3 linked regions of the Arabidopsis thaliana genome follow. The protein of the gene in region 1 interacts with the protein of each later gene in a pairwise test. Each region holds a gene or a part of one and is shown in the gene's direction. Other genes may lie near its edges.

The links. Proteins that work in one complex are often made in the same cells at the same time.
Region 2: the proteins of STM (region 1) and BLH1 interact in binary tests that used the Arabidopsis thaliana proteins (3 or more experiments, as listed by UniProt).
Region 3: the proteins of STM (region 1) and BLH4 interact in binary tests that used the Arabidopsis thaliana proteins (3 or more experiments, as listed by UniProt).

What each region holds. Positions count from the first base shown.
Region 1 is NC_003070.9:23,058,072-23,063,763, reverse strand, and holds STM (KNOX/ELK homeobox transcription factor), read left to right. Parts: upstream 1-1,700; 5' UTR 1,701-2,041; coding exon 2,042-2,470; intron 2,471-2,930; coding exon 2,931-3,186; intron 3,187-3,876; coding exon 3,877-4,130; intron 4,131-4,758; coding exon 4,759-4,968; 3' UTR 4,969-5,182; downstream 5,183-5,692. UniProt on the Arabidopsis thaliana protein: Required for shoot apical meristem (SAM) formation during embryogenesis. Negatively regulates ASYMMETRIC LEAVES1 (AS1) and ASYMMETRIC LEAVES2 (AS2 or LBD6). Probably binds to the DNA sequence 5'-TGAC-3'. Binds to RNA.
Region 2 is NC_003071.7:15,088,237-15,094,299, reverse strand, and holds BLH1 (BEL1-like homeodomain 1), read left to right. Parts: upstream 1-1,884; 5' UTR 1,885-2,073; intron 2,074-2,121; exon of another isoform or gene 2,122-2,184; 5' UTR 2,185-2,233; exon of another isoform or gene 2,234-2,513; 5' UTR 2,514-2,600; coding exon 2,601-3,443; exon of another isoform or gene 3,444-3,760; coding exon 3,761-4,149; intron 4,150-4,233; coding exon 4,234-4,294; intron 4,295-4,379; coding exon 4,380-5,129; 3' UTR 5,130-5,538; downstream 5,539-6,063.
Region 3 is NC_003071.7:10,107,184-10,115,017, reverse strand, and holds BLH4 (BEL1-like homeodomain 4), read left to right. Parts: upstream 1-2,012; 5' UTR 2,013-2,132; exon of another isoform or gene 2,133-2,239; 5' UTR 2,240-2,281; coding exon 2,282-3,238; intron 3,239-4,005; coding exon 4,006-4,397; intron 4,398-5,399; coding exon 5,400-5,616; intron 5,617-6,593; coding exon 6,594-7,067; 3' UTR 7,068-7,309; downstream 7,310-7,834. UniProt on the Arabidopsis thaliana protein: Transcription factor that establishes leaf shape by repressing growth in specific subdomains of the leaf. Negatively regulates knox homeobox gene KNAT1/BP expression.

The sequences.
Region 1 (5,692 bases):
TGAAGGCAGTGGCTGAGGAGAGAGTTTTTTTTCTTCTTTCATGGGGAAAGTAAAACTTTGCCTTGAAGATTTCTCTCTTCAATATTTTTCTAAGACTTTTGATTTCAACGAATCACTGTCCTTAACCTAAAAGCAAGAAAAATTAGCTTTATACTGGTCTTTACTTTTTTTTAACATATTTATTTTTATATAGTTTACTTATAAACATAGACATACGAGTATGGGAATATATAGTATATCCAACTTCTAAATAATATTTCGAATAGTGATAACAAAATTAGCAATACATACGGCTAGTGAAATGTTGATCGAATAAACGGCACTGATGTAATGTACTTATCAATTTTGATAATTTTAATTGTATTGTTTTTCTTTTTTTCCCACAGTATTGAACTAGACAATTAAATTTAAAGTAAAATTATACATTTCTTTCGTTGTGTATTAAAGTAACATGCATAATATCATTTTCCTTCGTACAATCCTCCAAATTGACAATTGATGAATTACTTTGTCAATCGTAAATGAATTTTTCTCAAGTCTGTATACTATTTTCAGGGATAAACAGGTACAGGTGTCCCATGCTTATTCTCTTGATAGTAACATGTGTCCTATGTTGAGTCAATTCTACGTTCGAAGAAGTGCTAACAATTGTTAATAGCCTCGTATATTATTCTAATTAAAATGCCTCGATAGATTTGGTTAGTGGTCTGAATGTGATTGGTTATTTTTTCAAGTGGCAAGAGGTCTACCATCTAATATTACAATCAATCGACCAAAAAGGTCGAGAACATGATAATGGTGGCAAATACAAATGGTTCATTGTTGTCTAATATAACAAGCCATCAGTTGTCACTTTTTAAAAACAATACAGAATACAAGATACTTTTTTTTTAAGGTAAAATGTGTGTTTAATATTTTCGTTTATATAACAAATAAACAGTTACATGTTTTACTCTATGATTATATTTATGACATTTTTCTTCTTCTTAACAACATTTTTTTCCCATAAGAACATTTACAATAGTATTAAAACTTTGATTGCAATCAAATGTTAGATCACTTATTATAAAATTACTAAGACTGCTATCTTTTCCTATTGACAAAAGCGAATCCAATATATGTTACTGAAACAAATGCGTAAATTATACTATATGGAGATCTATCGGTTAATTATTGAGAGAATCTAAGAAAGTTTTTGAGTACAACAGTCCTAATAATATCTTCACATACCATATAATATACATATATACATATACACAAATGTACTTTTTAAACCAACATCAGCATACGTATATCCCATCAGGAAACTTAGACTTTTGGGAATTCATGGTATGAAAACCAAAACCAAATGACAACATTCGATTTGATACTCCCGACCCATGGTAAAGAAATAACAAATTCCAATATATCTTTCACTGGACTTTCCGAGGCACATTCCGGTTTTCTCCATTTCAAGAAATTGTCAAAAATAAATTGAGATCCGGTTTATTACCTCAAAAAAGAAGAAGAGAAATTACAACATTAATTTCCGAAAAGGCATAAATGAGAAATCATATTTCAGCAGAAGAACACAAAAGAGTTAAGAACCCACAGATCACACAACCTCTGTCCATGTCTGCTTTTTACACTTTTTTAAAATAAGTTTCTCCTAAAAAGTTATTTCCTATTTATAATAATTTCCTTAGATTTATCTTCCTGGTCTCTCTTCTGCTGCTTCCCTCTCCCCCATAACTATCACTATTTAGAATTTTCAATGTGGAAAAGGAAGCTGATTGTTGAAGCATAAATCCCGGGAGACCACTTTTGCATTTTCAAATAATTAAATTAAACCATAGATACACACACACAGTTACTTACTCTTTTAGGGTTTCCCAATAAATTTATAGTACTTTAATGTGTTTCATGATATTGATGATAAATGCTAGCTGTATTTACAATGGGGGCTCCTCTTTTTTTTTCTTTATGTTATTTTCATTTTTTATTTCTCATAGCTATATAGCAAAGCCAAAGTGAATAATAATACTAGTGAGAGAAAGAGAAGATGGAGAGTGGTTCCAACAGCACTTCTTGTCCAATGGCTTTTGCCGGGGATAATAGTGATGGTCCGATGTGTCCTATGATGATGATGATGCCGCCCATCATGACATCACATCAACATCATGGTCATGATCATCAACATCAACAACAAGAACATGATGGTTATGCATATCAGTCACACCACCAACAAAGTAGTTCCCTTTTTCTTCAATCACTAGCTCCTCCCCAAGGAACTAAGAACAAAGTTGCTTCTTCTTCTTCTCCTTCCTCTTGTGCTCCTGCCTATTCTCTAATGGAGATCCATCATAACGAAATCGTTGCAGGAGGAATCAACCCTTGCTCCTCTTCCTCTTCTTCAGCCTCTGTCAAGGCCAAGATCATGGCTCATCCTCACTACCACCGCCTCTTGGCCGCTTATGTCAATTGTCAGAAGGTGATGAGAGAAAGAAACTTGAAAAAATTACTTTGAAAGTTTCTTCGTAACTCTAATGATTCTTATTTGATTTTCTTGCACAAAAAAGAAGAGAAAGATTCTAGAAACCCTAATTACCAAACTTTACCTTTTATTTCCTTTTTACATAACCCTTTACTTGATGTCTGAGTTTGATTTTGATATCTACTTTTGTTTACTAGTTACTTAACCCAGCTAAGTATATACAAATCAAAGGATACAATTTTTCCTATATTGAGAAAGTTTCAAGAAACAATTTGTAAAAACCCTACTTGCAAGAGATTATCCAAAATATTGTATGTAGGCTTGAAGATTAGGACATATATAATTATTTCATTTTTTTCTTTACTATATTATATATCCACAATAAACGTGAGGATCCTTATCTTAGTTCAATTAACGTTTTTATGTCTATCATTTACTAATTACACAATTTCTTAAGGTTGGAGCACCACCGGAGGTTGTGGCGAGGCTAGAGGAGGCATGCTCGTCTGCCGCAGCCGCTGCCGCATCTATGGGACCAACAGGATGTCTAGGTGAAGATCCAGGGCTTGATCAATTCATGGAAGCTTACTGTGAAATGCTCGTTAAGTATGAGCAAGAGCTCTCCAAACCTTTCAAGGAAGCTATGGTCTTCCTTCAACGTGTCGAGTGTCAATTCAAATCCCTCTCTCTATCCTCACCTTCCTCTTTCTCCGGTTACTCTCTCCTCTCTCTCTAGTTCTCTGTTTTTTTTTCTTTCTTTTTAATTCATATTCTTGTTAATTATGGCGTCAAATTAAACGTAAGATGAGGAAAGTTGTTTTTTTTCTTTGTGGGTTTTAAGAAAGATTTTCCTTTTTCTGATTTTTCTTGGGTAAATACCCCTTTGATGGTTGTTACTAGGGTTAGTGTCAGATTGTTATATATAGCTTACTAGGTTTACGTGTATAATCTATCTATACATAAGTTAGTGTATGTAGTTGTTTTCATTGAATTAAAACAGTTTGTTTACTGTTTTTTTGTTTTGTTTGGAATTGAATTCATTTGCTTTGGTACAACAACAATCACTGTTCTTGTCTCTTTCTTCTCCGTTTGTTTTGGATCTATTTAATTCAAATGCATCAAAAAGAATATCTGGATCTAGAGTCTGCTCGTCCTTAGATCTATTGCTCAATTTAGACATACACATGTTTTTGTACGTATAATCACATATACATATATCTACACAATGTCATATCACTCTTCTTTTCAAGAATGTAGTTAAGTTTATATAGACACACAAACTCACATCTACTTAACATGTTACTTTGAATTATTTGGATCACTAGCCTATTCTTTTTCATTTCCCTAGACACATGTTCTTGTTGACAAATTTGTCTTGCTTTCACATGTTTAATCAATATAAGGTTATGGAGAGACAGCAATTGATAGGAACAATAATGGGTCATCCGAGGAAGAAGTCGATATGAACAATGAATTTGTAGATCCACAAGCTGAGGATAGAGAGCTTAAAGGACAGCTCTTGCGCAAGTACAGTGGTTACTTAGGGAGCCTCAAGCAAGAGTTCATGAAGAAGAGGAAGAAAGGAAAGCTCCCTAAAGAAGCTCGTCAACAACTGCTTGATTGGTGGAGCCGTCACTACAAATGGCCTTACCCTTCGGTAACTCTCTTCCCTTATACTCTAATTAAATAATCATTTCATGTTTTTAAAAAAGCATTTATATGATAGCAAATTCAATTTAGTTGTCTATTAGCTTGTTTCAATGTTTTTAGTGATTTTTGCATTCATACTATATCGTTAGGGACATTAGTTTATGTTAGCTCATGTTGGCATTGCACAATATGCATTTGCATAATTTGAAATCCTAAAAGCTGAATGAAGTGAACTTATTTAGTCTATGTGTACTGTTTTGGTCTATTAGCCGATGACAAACTTGATTCTTGCTTCCATACCTTTTTTAGGGTCCGAATAATATGTCAATCTTAGTCAAGACTACGATCAATTTCATCTTATGGCTGTGTACCATAACTTAGACTAAACTTTGTTGCACATATTTCAAGTCATAACTTTGGAAAGTAGGGTGCATGAGGCCATACCCTAATGCAATAGTAGCTCATGTCTTTATTACACTTGTATAGTGTCATTACCCATGTTCGTATGAGTAGATGGATTCTAAGTTCTCCTTACAATCTAGCAAATCGTGATGTAGCTGTGATCATGGACTGACCTTATATCGGAGAGAACACTTGATGATTGATTTTTTCTCGCATGTGATATGAAATTGCAGGAGCAACAAAAGCTCGCCCTTGCGGAATCAACGGGGCTGGACCAGAAACAGATAAACAATTGGTTCATAAACCAGAGGAAACGGCATTGGAAGCCGTCGGAGGACATGCAGTTTGTAGTAATGGACGCAACACATCCTCACCATTACTTCATGGATAATGTCTTGGGCAATCCTTTCCCAATGGATCACATCTCCTCCACCATGCTTTGATCGATCCTTTAAAACGTTTATTTCATTATATTTATAATCGTTAAACAGCTTATAATATGTATAATCTATGGTTCTCGGTATACTTGGAACATATGAAACATGTTCCGATTGATGAACAAGCGTTTGATGTTGTGGTGTGTATCCTTTTGTGTTGTTCTATTGTTATGCGAAATTCCTATTCCTATTATAATGATAGTAAAGCTTTTTTGATCTATTCTTTTTATTTGACAACCTTTTTGACAATTTGGACCATTTTTTGGTTGTATGTATATCTTCCTTGCTAATTTTTAAGTATTTGCGTCGAAATTTTGTACTTTTGGGATGGAAAAGACGAAAAGAAAAGAGAGAATGCTATTACTCCAAAAGACCTAGTCTGGCCCAAACAGACCCATCACTATCCCAAAAAGACAAGATCGACCAAAACTTAATCCACTTCTAATAGTTTTGTCCCTTAAAACGCTTTCTGCTGTATGTATCTTCACAAACATATGACTTATCTTGAACCGATTCAATACAGCAGCATTTAGCATTGCTGAGAGTGATCTTTACACATATATACGCTTATAAGCTTCTCAAATTCTTCTTCATATGCTCCTCATCATCTTCAGTTTTCAATAGCCATAATTTGTTCCTACCAAAGACGAATAGTTCCAGTTTCTGCATAGCCACAATCTTCCATTTGTTTTCCCACTTGATCTAACCTGAAACTGGGACATGGTTCCTG
Region 2 (6,063 bases), on another chromosome or scaffold:
TCTACATACAAATTATAATTATCTATATCGTATAAATAAAATAAATACAAGTTACTAAAAAAGACTTTCTCATGAACTTAAACACTCTTTGCAATTAATCAACTAAAATTATCTACTATATTTCTAATTATATTTTAAATAAAATACTTTTAGTCAAATACCCTTTAAAAATAGACATACGTGGTAAACTAAAAGAATATATGAAATAAAGAAATAAAAGTAAATATACATTTAACGGGACCCACTCTTTCCCCATCATGCTTCATTATCATTATCGTTATCATCTTCTTTCTTCCTCTCTCCTCTCTTTCTCAATAATTTAGATTTTTGTGTGATTAAATATTTTAGGTTTCTGCAGAAGGAGACGTTTCCTCGTTTTTGTGCTGTTTGGATCTTCTGACACAATTCACTTTTCCGTATAAGTTTTCAATTTCTCTAATCCCATTATGTATATTTAAAATATTATACTCTTAACCTATTTGAGTGTTTGGAAGAAAAATATAAACTAACGGTAGGACTTTCAAAAATGAAATCTATTCATTTTCTAGAATAAAGTGTTGATGCGTTTTAAGTTTTTATGTGTATGTGGTAATATAAAACTTTGTAAATAAAGTATCTTAGTTAATCTGCTGAGGAAAATAATGAAATGAAATTAAAGAAAAAAACAGTTGAAAAAAGAAAAAATGAAAAGAACTTGGTAACGTAAACATTACTAATTTTATTACTTATAAATCATAATCAGTTCAAAGTTCGTTGCCATCCTCAGTGTACACTCTGAACTTGCTAGATGATAAAAGTCTGCAAGAATAGTAATCCGAAGAATACTTTATGTTCAGGATTGTAGTTATATCAATAAAGAAAGATTTGGATTGAGATGCGTGTGGGATTTCTTTTTATTAAATAAATACAAATATAATGTTTTAAAAGAAAATGATATGATTCTAAATTGGACACGACATACATATCACTATGTCTTGATGTGATAACATTTACTTCATCTATGAAATTATATCGTCTATAAATAACTAAATAAAGGGTGTTTGGTTGTTATGATATGTGGGTTCATTACCTGGTCAATACATGAAAAGGCCAAAGTCATATCATACAAGTTCCTCTGTTTTTCAAGTATACCAATTCTAAATTTATAATAAGATACGTATCACATATATATTACCAAATAATGTATACATATGTCTATGAAGTTGAAATATTTCGAATTTAATATTATCTCTTGTACTGGATGTCAAACTAGAATTTCAACAACAAACAATTATATGCACATTTTCTCACTTAGTTTTATGAATTTTAGCTCCCTATGATATATATGTACTTTGTAACTTATTTATCACCATGCTATATAGTGATAATAACATGAAGTAAAGGTTTTTTGAACATGCAGTATGAAAGAATGCTATGTCTTTTTCTTAATTTATTCATTAATCTTTTTCTATTTAAAAAAACTGTTGAACCAATTGCTCTAGAGTACACTAATTTAAATGATTACATAAAGCTATATCTAAGTGTAGAGTTTAATATCAATTTTGAAAACAAATTCCAACATGGTTGGAATGTCTATTTAGCATATTAAATTAAAAAGATAAGTAATATTAGCTGGTGGTGAACGTAAACACACACACACACACAAATTGTTTTGCGGATACAAGTATATATCAATATATGAATGTAAAATTAAGTTACATTAGTGAATATTTCATGTCCTAAACATTGGTTATTGTCCCATTTAACAAAAAATCCACTTTGGTTATAAGATATACCGACCACAACACTAAAATAAAATAAAATAGAAAGAAAGTGATGAAAAATGGTGGCGTACTAAGGACTGTGGGAAGATTAATGAGTGAAGGAAAAGATGGGTATCTTTTATCTCTCCTTTCTTTATCCTCTCTCTCTTTCAATATATATTAGTCATTTTTATTTTGTTATATATTATTTCTCAGCTTTTTAAATGTATTTTATATTTCCCCTTTGAGCAAGAAAAGAGTTGCAGAGATCTTTGAGTCTGACACAGAGACCAAACTCACATAGCAATCACACACATCTCCACAAACACAGGTATGCATATAAATATATATATATAAGTGTATATTCGTGTGTATGTGTGTGTGTCTGTCTCTCTCTCTTTCTCTTTGATAGAAATTCTCTAATGTAACTTTCCTTTTGCAGCTTGAGATGATCATGAAACACGTGCATCCTCAGATCTCTATCAATCCAGGTTCTTCATCTTTTATAATATTCATTTTTTCTTTCAATTTCTAACTCTATTATTTTATTATTTTATTTTCAATCATGATTATGTCTTAATTTCCATATCCTTCAATCTCTCTTTCTCATAATCCATAATTCATCCCTTCTTCTTCGTCTTCTTGATGTGATCACGATTCTTTTTTTCTTCGCTTCAACTGTATATATATACAGATCTATATTAAACTTATAGTGGTTTTGTTTTTGCTCCTTTTTCATACTTTTGTTTGTTTTTCTATGATATCAATCAGCTTGGTGAAAGAAGGTCAAGAATTGAAAGAGAATCAAAGAAAACGACGTCGTTTCATTCGTGTGTAACAACTACTAATTATACATAGATGGCTGCTTACTTTCACGGAAACCCACCGGAGATCTCTGCCGGATCCGACGGTGGTCTTCAAACGTTGATCCTCATGAATCCAACTACTTACGTTCAGTACACCCAACAAGACAACGACTCGAACAACAACAACAACAGCAACAATAGCAACAACAACAACACAAACACAAACACAAACAACAACAACAGTAGTTTCGTTTTCCTCGATTCCCACGCGCCGCAGCCAAACGCGAGCCAGCAGTTCGTCGGAATACCACTCTCAGGTCACGAAGCTGCTTCCATTACAGCCGCCGACAACATCTCCGTACTTCACGGTTATCCTCCGCGCGTGCAGTACAGTCTCTACGGTAGCCACCAAGTGGATCCCACTCACCAGCAAGCCGCGTGTGAGACGCCACGCGCGCAGCAAGGCCTCTCTTTAACCCTCTCGTCTCAACAGCAGCAGCAACAGCAACATCATCAACAACACCAGCCTATTCACGTCGGATTCGGGTCCGGACATGGAGAAGATATCCGGGTCGGGTCTGGCTCTACAGGATCGGGGGTAACAAACGGTATAGCTAATCTTGTTAGCTCCAAGTACTTGAAGGCAGCACAAGAGCTTCTTGACGAAGTAGTCAACGCTGATTCCGATGACATGAACGCTAAATCCCAACTATTCTCATCGAAAAAGGGTAGTTGCGGAAATGATAAACCTGTCGGAGAATCATCGGCCGGCGCTGGAGGAGAAGGTTCCGGTGGCGGAGCAGAAGCAGCCGGGAAACGTCCGGTGGAGCTAGGCACGGCAGAGAGACAAGAAATACAGATGAAGAAAGCAAAACTTAGTAACATGCTTCATGAGGTAACAACAATACGTATTATATACAATAAGCCTACATATACTGAGTGCTCTCTTATATCACACATGAAGTGGACTTAAAAGTTCTGTCCCTAAGATTTTCAGTCATTTTCACAATTCATTTTATATGTATATTAAGCTATCCTTTTTTTTTTTTGCTCTTCCGATTTCTCAAATTGACAACTTACAAGATTGATGAAATCTTTTTTTTTTTGTCCCTCTCTTAGTAAAGACTAACAACTTTTATAGATTATATTTATGTAGACCGTACACTTATGTTCATAAGACTCACGTTACTTTGTTGGTTGAAAAATGAAAAGGTGGAGCAGAGATATAGACAGTACCACCAGCAGATGCAGATGGTGATCTCTTCGTTCGAGCAAGCGGCAGGGATAGGATCAGCGAAGTCATACACGTCGCTAGCATTGAAAACCATATCAAGACAGTTCCGTTGCTTGAAAGAGGCGATCGCTGGTCAGATAAAAGCGGCCAACAAGAGTCTTGGGGAGGAAGATTCAGTGTCTGGTGTTGGGAGGTTTGAGGGGTCGAGGCTCAAGTTCGTGGACCACCACTTGAGACAGCAAAGAGCTCTTCAACAACTGGGAATGATTCAACATCCTTCCAATAATGCTTGGAGACCTCAACGTGGTCTCCCAGAACGAGCCGTCTCAGTTCTCCGTGCTTGGCTCTTCGAACACTTTCTTCATCCGTAAGTAACCCACTATACACACATGCACTACTTTTCATCACTGGAACACAAACTCAGTCTCTAAGTTGTCTTTCTTTTAATTAGATACCCTAAGGATTCGGACAAGCACATGCTAGCTAAGCAAACAGGACTCACTCGTAGCCAGGTACGTTTCAAAATGATTCTTTCTTGTGTTATTAGGTTACTTAAGAAAGCGTTTTTAAGTAAATTTATTTTCTTTAATTATTTAGGTGTCGAACTGGTTTATAAACGCGAGAGTTCGGTTATGGAAACCAATGGTGGAGGAGATGTACATGGAGGAAATGAAGGAGCAGGCAAAGAACATGGGATCCATGGAAAAGACTCCTTTGGATCAAAGCAACGAAGATTCTGCTTCAAAGTCAACAAGTAACCAAGAAAAGAGCCCAATGGCGGACACTAATTACCATATGAATCCCAATCACAACGGTGACCTAGAAGGCGTCACTGGAATGCAAGGAAGCCCCAAGAGACTAAGAACCAGCGACGAGACAATGATGCAGCCAATAAATGCGGATTTCAGCTCCAACGAGAAGCTCACGATGAAGATTCTAGAAGAACGGCAAGGGATAAGATCAGATGGTGGCTACCCTTTCATGGGTAATTTCGGGCAATACCAAATGGATGAGATGTCAAGATTTGATGTAGTCTCAGACCAGGAGCTCATGGCGCAAAGGTACTCAGGAAACAACAATGGCGTGTCCCTCACGTTAGGTTTACCTCATTGTGATAGCTTGTCGTCCACGCACCATCAGGGTTTCATGCAGACCCACCATGGGATTCCTATAGGGAGAAGAGTGAAAATAGGAGAAACAGAGGAATATGGACCCGCCACCATCAATGGTGGTAGCTCGACCACAACCGCACATTCATCAGCGGCAGCTGCCGCGGCTTACAATGGGATGAACATACAGAACCAGAAGAGATATGTGGCTCAGTTATTGCCCGACTTCGTTGCATAAACCCATCTCTCTAGAAGGAGAAACCGAAACAGGTTATTATATACGTTTCTAGTTTTTAATTAGTATATAGTTTCTCATACCATTGAACCAAAACAAAGAACAAAATTTAATTTTAGTCTTTGGTTATATATGGCCGACGGTTGTATATCGATTTTGTAATTTTTTTTTTTCGTTTCTATTGGGGGATGGATAGGGTTATATATGTATATGGATTAGTTACGTGTAATAGCTTGCATTGGGTGTATACCAAAATATATTTTTACTTTTATTACAATGTAATAATTAATAAGATAGTGAACTGATCTATCAAATATGGAATGATGATTACAGATTAGATCTAAGCTGTATAGATTCCGAATATGACATGTATGCTTAAGCGGCTGGAAACTTATAATATTTTTTGAGGAGTGTTTATGTGTTAAAAGCATATTAAATAAAATTCTACACATTCACAATACAAATATAAAAAAAAACAAAGAAAGCAATCTCTGAAATAAGATCTTACGAACTGTTGAATTGAATTCAGATTTCAAACTTTGTGTATAGTTTTTTTTTTTAAATCAATTAAGATTAACGTTTATAAAACTTGTTATAAATTTTCTTTTCAAGATATATAAAAATGAAAATGTTCAAATCATTTTGTAGAATAGCGTCACCTGCTGAGAGATAAACTTACAATAACAGTAACAATTTTTTTTTTCTGTTATTAAAGACATTGACAGAATATTTATATGAAGACTGCGTGAGAGTGTGAGACTAATTTCGGAGAGGTTTGTAAGAAAAAAGTTTACAAAAACATATGCGAATATTTAATATATATTTTACTCATTTTCGGCCCATAACTTTTTTTGGGCCCAAATACCTTTCTATAGATATTAATAAATAATGAAATTTAGTGAAACACATGAAATATGTTGCGACTATCGGAGCCAAA
Region 3 (7,834 bases), on another chromosome or scaffold:
AATTTAGGAAATAGTCCAATTTCTTATAGGCAACAAAAATATTCTAAATTATCCGTTAGCAAAAAATAATATTTATTGAGAAATCACTTGCATTAATTTAGATTAAGTAAATAGTTCAAACAAAAATTTGCGTGCTACACAATTTTCGATTTGGTATCTGATTCTGGCATGATAGATTCCAACATAAGTCTCCATAGATATATATACAAGTGGGCTTTTCACTTTTGCTTTCAAGCCTTCCATTAGTATTTATCCTATTGTGGATTTATAACCTACATAGCATATATCCAACATGTCTCTCTAACTGTTTGTGGGATGGATACGCACGTCAAATCGATTTTGGAAATTTTTTTTTTTTTAATATTTAATATACCTAGGATAATGTAATGACTAATGATACGTTAATTTTAACAGAAAATAATTGTGTTTGTATCTATACAACGTCATTATAATGTATGGCTGAAATTAATTTTATAAGTATAGGTTTAGAAAAAGAGATAGCTGAAGGTGTAGTTGTGAAACTACAGAACCATAAAATTTCGTTTTTTCCATGCATTAGTTGTGTGTGGATGGTTTACATATTACAAACATCGATGATGGTGAAAGGCTATCGGCCGACCGTGAAATCGTGCAGAGGATTAATCTTTGGATTTTAGTAAATATTTTGTAAAGATGATTTGGAGGTTTAGTCATCAGGCATGTTGTCATAACATCAAGGTTTTTTTTAAAACAATGGTATTTTTAAAAATATTATTGTTAAAGGGATATTTTTTAAAATGGGTAATCTAAAAAGCAATTTTAAAAAAATTTCAATAATCTTTGAGTGATAAAGTTTTATTAATTAATATAGATATAAAATAATATTTTGAAAGTTGAGAGTATCGTTTAACACAGAATGAGATATTTCCTAATCAATTAACACAAAATGAAACAACCTCGATTTGCAGCTAGATTTTTGCTTTATCATATCAAGCTTGAGGTAATCTCTAATGCTTTTTTTTTTACGATTTCGTGATGATAGATGTAATATAGCGGTTTCTGCAAAGAAATTTAAAATAATTGATTTAGCCACATATGTTACCAAAATGTAATTATAATTTGATCGATTTTTATGTATTTCATTTGTTTCATATTATAATTTGATCGATTTTTGATATATCGTATGATTAGTTAATTGAATAAATGTACATACATGAAAAAGTAGTCTAAAATGACATAGGTCTCCCCTAAACAACAAATACACACAATATTAAAGAATAAAATTAGAGAGCATCATAGGAATATTATATAAGTATTTAATTTGTCAAATAAGAATATTTTATTTTATTTTATTTTGGCTCGAAATAAGAATATATTGAAGCACAAAAATATGTGGAAGTATTTATGGTGGTGGTTTGGTTCATTGAGATATGACCTTTGGACTCACCTTATCTTCCTATTCTTTTTAGTTTGCTTTCATAAATTAGTTTCCAAATTAACTCCTTTAAAATGTTGATATCAGCCGACATTTCCGTGATAAAAAGTTTTTTTTTCTCTTATAAATAAATAATAACGTTGACAAAAAAAAAAGACAAGAAAAAAAAACAAGGATAATTTCGTAATTTCAGGATGTGTATAGTTTTTTTTTGTCTTTCCTCCTCATCGTTATTGATATGAAGAAACCTTTGCCGATTAAAATTAAAAAGAAGATGTTTATAAAAATACTTCATTATAAAAAAATGATAAATCAAGATTTTAATAACAAAAAAATATTAAAGAAGATTGGTGGGTTAAAAAGGGAGGCGATGAAGAAAGAACAGCGACCTCTTCTTCTCTCTTCCCTCTCTCTTCCTTTCTCTTTGGGAGAGATTTTTTTATAAGTTTTTGGTTTTGCAGAATTTGCTGAATAAAAACTCTCACTAACAGAGAAATATAAAATAAAAAGAGTACTCAAGAAAAAGAAAGCTAGAGAGAGAGGTATAGAAGAAAACGATAGCTATAAGCTCATCATCAATCATTTCTTTAATTCTCTGCAACTCCAAGGTACTTCCTCTCTCTCTCTCTCTCTCTCTCTATACCATATATGTAGATGATGACCGAAGCTGAAAGTGAGAACCTTAAAAGAGTTACAAGAAAGAGATTGGAGAAAAACTGTATAATACCTAGTTGACTCCTCTCTCTCTCTCTCTCTTTCTTTTTCTTGTATTTTTTTTTTGTATGTGTTATATAAGATTCTCTGTGTATGTCTGAATCCTTACAGGATCCAAGAGCTTTGGAAAAAAGATATAATGAATAACAAGATATGGGTTTAGCTACTACAACTTCTTCTATGTCACAAGATTATCATCATCACCAAGGAATCTTTTCCTTCTCTAATGGATTCCACCGATCATCATCAACCACTCATCAAGAGGAAGTAGATGAATCCGCCGTCGTCTCCGGTGCTCAAATTCCGGTTTATGAAACCGCCGGAATGTTGTCTGAAATGTTTGCTTACCCTGGCGGAGGTGGCGGCGGTTCCGGTGGAGAGATTCTTGATCAGTCTACTAAACAGTTGCTAGAGCAACAAAACCGTCACAACAACAACAATAACTCAACTCTTCATATGTTATTACCAAATCATCATCAAGGTTTTGCTTTCACCGACGAAAACACTATGCAGCCGCAGCAACAACAACACTTTACATGGCCATCTTCCTCCTCCGATCATCATCAAAACCGAGATATGATCGGAACCGTCCACGTGGAAGGAGGAAAGGGTTTGTCTTTATCTCTCTCATCTTCATTAGCCGCAGCTAAAGCCGAGGAATATAGAAGCATTTATTGTGCAGCCGTTGATGGAACTTCTTCTTCTTCTAACGCATCCGCTCATCATCATCAATTCAATCAGTTCAAGAATCTTCTTCTTGAGAATTCTTCTTCTCAACATCATCACCATCAAGTTGTTGGACATTTTGGTTCATCATCATCATCTCCCATGGCGGCTTCTTCATCCATTGGAGGGATCTACACGTTGAGGAATTCGAAATATACGAAACCGGCTCAAGAGTTGTTGGAAGAGTTTTGTAGTGTTGGAAGAGGACATTTCAAGAAGAACAAACTTAGTAGGAACAACTCAAACCCTAATACTACCGGTGGAGGAGGAGGCGGAGGGTCCTCGTCATCGGCCGGAACAGCTAATGATAGTCCTCCTTTGTCTCCGGCTGATCGGATTGAACATCAAAGAAGAAAAGTCAAGCTACTATCTATGCTTGAAGAGGTAACGTTTTCACTCAATATTTTTTCTCTAACCAAACTAATTAATTTTCTATCAAACTTTTAATGAACCGTTCTAATGATTGAATTGATCAAACAACCAATTTCATATCAATCGCTACAAAATTTTATTTTTCTTCGTGATTTTTTTCTTCTTATATAATTAATTCTAAATCGACCAATATTTTCATAAACTCTATATATGTTATTTTCTTAAAAAAATAAATGTATAGAGAATGACCGACTGGTACAAGAGCACGACACATGCTCTAGTTGGTAAAGCCTGATTACGCAATCCTACTATCACTTATATAATTTTTCTAACTAATATCATTATATGGTGTTATATGGTCTAATTTGATATATTAATGCATATTTTGTGTCACGCGTTTGGTGGCATCGCTTAATCAAATTTAACATAAGAAATTAATATATGATTGATTAAGTGATTTAGTCTTCACAACCATAAATTTTAAATTAGAGTTTCCTTCTCCATATAAGCTAGCCACCTTCACTACGTAACCAAAACTAGTCCTTGAAGTTACTTCATTATTTATCTTACAATTTATTTTGTAGTTGACATTATCTTCTTTCAAGAATTTAGTATATGTTCCAAGATAGCATAAATTGTTAGCAAGAGAAGATAACACATTGAAGTATCTAAACGAACTAATCACTTGAGGTTTATATTTTATCTTAGAAATTGAGCTAATAAAAAAAAAACAAGAACTCATCTATGTATAGTTCATTTATTTAAAATTTAATTTGTAGGTGGACCGACGGTACAACCACTACTGCGAACAAATGCAAATGGTAGTGAACTCATTCGACCAAGTAATGGGTTACGGCGCGGCGGTTCCGTACACGACATTAGCTCAAAAGGCAATGTCTAGGCATTTCCGGTGTTTGAAAGACGCGGTAGCGGTTCAGCTTAAACGCAGCTGTGAGCTTCTAGGGGATAAAGAGGCGGCAGGGGCTGCATCCTCGGGGTTAACCAAAGGGGAAACGCCGCGATTGCGTTTGCTAGAGCAGAGTTTGCGTCAGCAACGAGCGTTTCATCATATGGGTATGATGGAGCAAGAGGCATGGAGACCGCAACGTGGTTTGCCTGAACGCTCCGTTAATATCCTTAGAGCTTGGCTATTCGAGCATTTTCTTAATCCGTAAGTCCATTTTCTAATCCCTTAATAATACTTACCTACTCTTATTCTTCGATAATACTAATCTTCTTGAATGTTGACTATACATTATAAAATGTAGACTACCATAATGCATTGATACCAAGACTTTAACTAATATACGTTTATTAAACTTAAGTTATGAAAGTGACAAAAAAATTTTTTTTTTTATAACTCTTTTGTTATGCGGGAAGATATATTTCTATTTCAATCAAAATTAAAAGCTGCTGGCTTTTTTAGAAAACCAAAATAATTTTTGTAAAATGAAGTTCCGTTTCTTCACTGAGTTTGATTATTTTATGTTTATTACTACTAATAAAAATTTAAATATCAAATATTTTTTCCTTTTCATACCACCCATAAGAATGGTCAGCTAAGAGTACTCCAAAATAACAAGGGTAACAATTCATTGACTAGGAGACTTTCATGAAAACTGTATGTTTATATTTATATTAATGTAGGTTATATTGCATGGCAAATTAAAGGGTTTAAATAATTAATGCAACAAAAGAAGTTTGCAGAGTGAGATCGCAAACTTTTATGCTTTGGGATCATAATAGCATCCTAAGGGTTTCTCTGTCTCTGCCTAACCTTTCCTTTATAGTTTTTTTTTCTTTAATTTGCTTTAATTCATTCCACATACTATTATCAAAAGAAGTAACAATGCCATTAACATAACTACAAAAAAATAAGTCTCAGATTTGTCAGTGGTACAGTTTCATTGGTATATTGTCCCTTAAGAAAGACAGAAATCAAAAAGAGGAAAAAAAAAATCTAAAAGCTGAAAAAAGCAATTTCTTCTGTCATTATTCATCAGTACTTTCTCTATTTAATGTCTGCAGAATTTTACTATTTTGTTGTTAGTGAAGTAAAGAAGAGAAGAGTTGTACAGATAAATATTTTGCTTTATGATGAAAAATAAGTTAAGATACAAAAATAAAATAAAATGCTTCTATTCTGAAATCAGCTTTTTCTTTTGTCCCTTAGATTCTCACGCCCTTGTAAGGAGAAAGTTTGTACCTTTTCTTGCATCTACTTGATTGTGTTTTTCCTCTCTATCTATATTCAAAAAAAGAGAAAAGAAAAAAATTATTGGTTTAGGGTTCTAAAGATTGTGAAGTCATTTTCTGGTCTCTTTCTCAGGTACCCAAGCGATGCTGATAAGCACCTCTTAGCACGACAGACTGGTTTATCCAGAAATCAGGTCAGCCTTTATCTATATAGATACATACATCAATATTTTTTTAATATAATATGTTTTCATACTTATCATACAAGAACCCTTTTAATTACTCATTTACATATATGTACTTAACTCACAATTTACCATATATATCAATCATTTCATCATGCAAAATCTGACATGAGTGGCTTCATGTCTATTCTCTTGCATGGATTTTCAATATCACGAATCATTTGTTTTTCTTGGGGTTCGTTTTCTTCATTAAATACATTATCTACACTTACACACACAAGGATATATAAAACATAGGAGAGAGAGATGTAAGTATTTCTCAAGTACATGAAAGTTTGAAGCTTTCATTTCAATGTTAACTAGCAGACCTCTAAGTCTTGTACACATTAATTATTTACATCACAAGTAGTTTATTACACTTGGCTTCAAATATCCATTAGTATATTTCAACCTTCAAATTGTTGTTTTAACATTATTATGTTTCATGTGTTCAAATAAAAAAACATTATTATGTTTCAAATTTTTAATTTAGAAATTTCATCTAAGCCTTTCAGTAAATACATAAGTTAACATCAAATCAAAATTACTTGAAACATGTCAAAAGTTATCTTGTTCTTGTAAGAATATAATGAAAAATTTAATATATATCTTCTTTTTAATAGATGTCTCAAAGGAAACACATGTATCATAATTTTTACTCCTTTCCTATCATTTTAACTTAAGGTTTTAGCTATCCTATTTTTTTTGTTTCATTTGTTTAAACTAATTTTCTTCACAGTAAATGACTTATTATTTTAACTTTACTTAATATAAAACAAATGAAGTATATACAAAAACAATCAAAACCATATTTAATGTAAAAAGGAGTATTTCACATTTCATTGAAAAGTTTTTTTTTCCTTCTAAAAGTTAAGTTTCTTTTAATATTATAAACTTGTTAAGAGTAAATTGTGATTAATATTAGTTCATATGTCTCGTTTTTTCAGGTGTCAAATTGGTTCATAAATGCTAGGGTTCGCCTATGGAAACCAATGGTGGAAGAGATGTATCAACAAGAAGCAAAAGAAAGAGAAGAAGCAGAAGAAGAAAATGAAAATCAACAACAACAAAGAAGACAGCAACAAACAAACAACAACGACACGAAACCCAACAACAATGAAAACAACTTCACTGTCATAACCGCACAAACTCCAACGACGATGACATCGACACATCACGAAAACGACTCTTCATTCCTCTCTTCCGTCGCCGCCGCTTCTCACGGCGGTTCAGACGCGTTCACCGTCGCCACGTGTCAGCAAGACGTCAGTGACTTCCACGTCGACGGAGATGGTGTGAACGTCATAAGATTCGGGACCAAACAGACTGGTGACGTGTCTCTTACGCTTGGTCTACGCCACTCTGGCAATATTCCTGATAAGAACACTTCTTTCTCCGTTAGAGACTTTGGAGATTTTTAGTCTTCTTTGTTTCTCAATTTATTCATCAAAATTTATTATAGTGAATTTTATTTTTTTGGTTTATCGATATATGTTTTTAGTTTCTTCACATACTTTTAAAATTTCCTTTCTTCTTTAGTTTTTTTTTCTGTCTTTTCTGTCGTAAGAAGAAGAGAGATATACATATATCAAGTGAGATCTAGCTACCAAAGTTCCATATATAATTATGCACATATTTTTATTTTATTCATGAAACTTATATCCTTACATTTTTGTATAGTTTTGTTCATACTAATTTTTTGTTCATATTAATACCCCTGCCAAATTACTCTAAATTTTGTTTTAGATTATGATTATGTACATATATTTTCTGGAAACTAAATTTCGTGTAGCATTTATTGGATTCTTCCATTTGATTTTTGCTAATAAGCGACAACAGTCTTTTAGGAAAGCGCCAATAAGTCACATCACTTTCCTTGTAATATCAAATTAATCATCTCAACTAATCCCTACTTACTACAACTATGTGCTCCTTAATTTAGTAATAGCAACAAAATATACTTGGTACGTACCCGATCGACTTATTAACAATTGTATTATCTTCAGTTTATAGTAAAATAGTTAAGAAAAACGTGACATATTTGTTTAAAAAGAAAACAAATAATCTTTTGAGTTAGGTTCTTTAGTTTTTTTCTCTGAGAAACAATTATCCAAAACTCCAAAGGTTTGGTTACATGTCATATTGGGGGATATGTCAATCGAGACGGAGACGTTTTAGTTCTACAAAG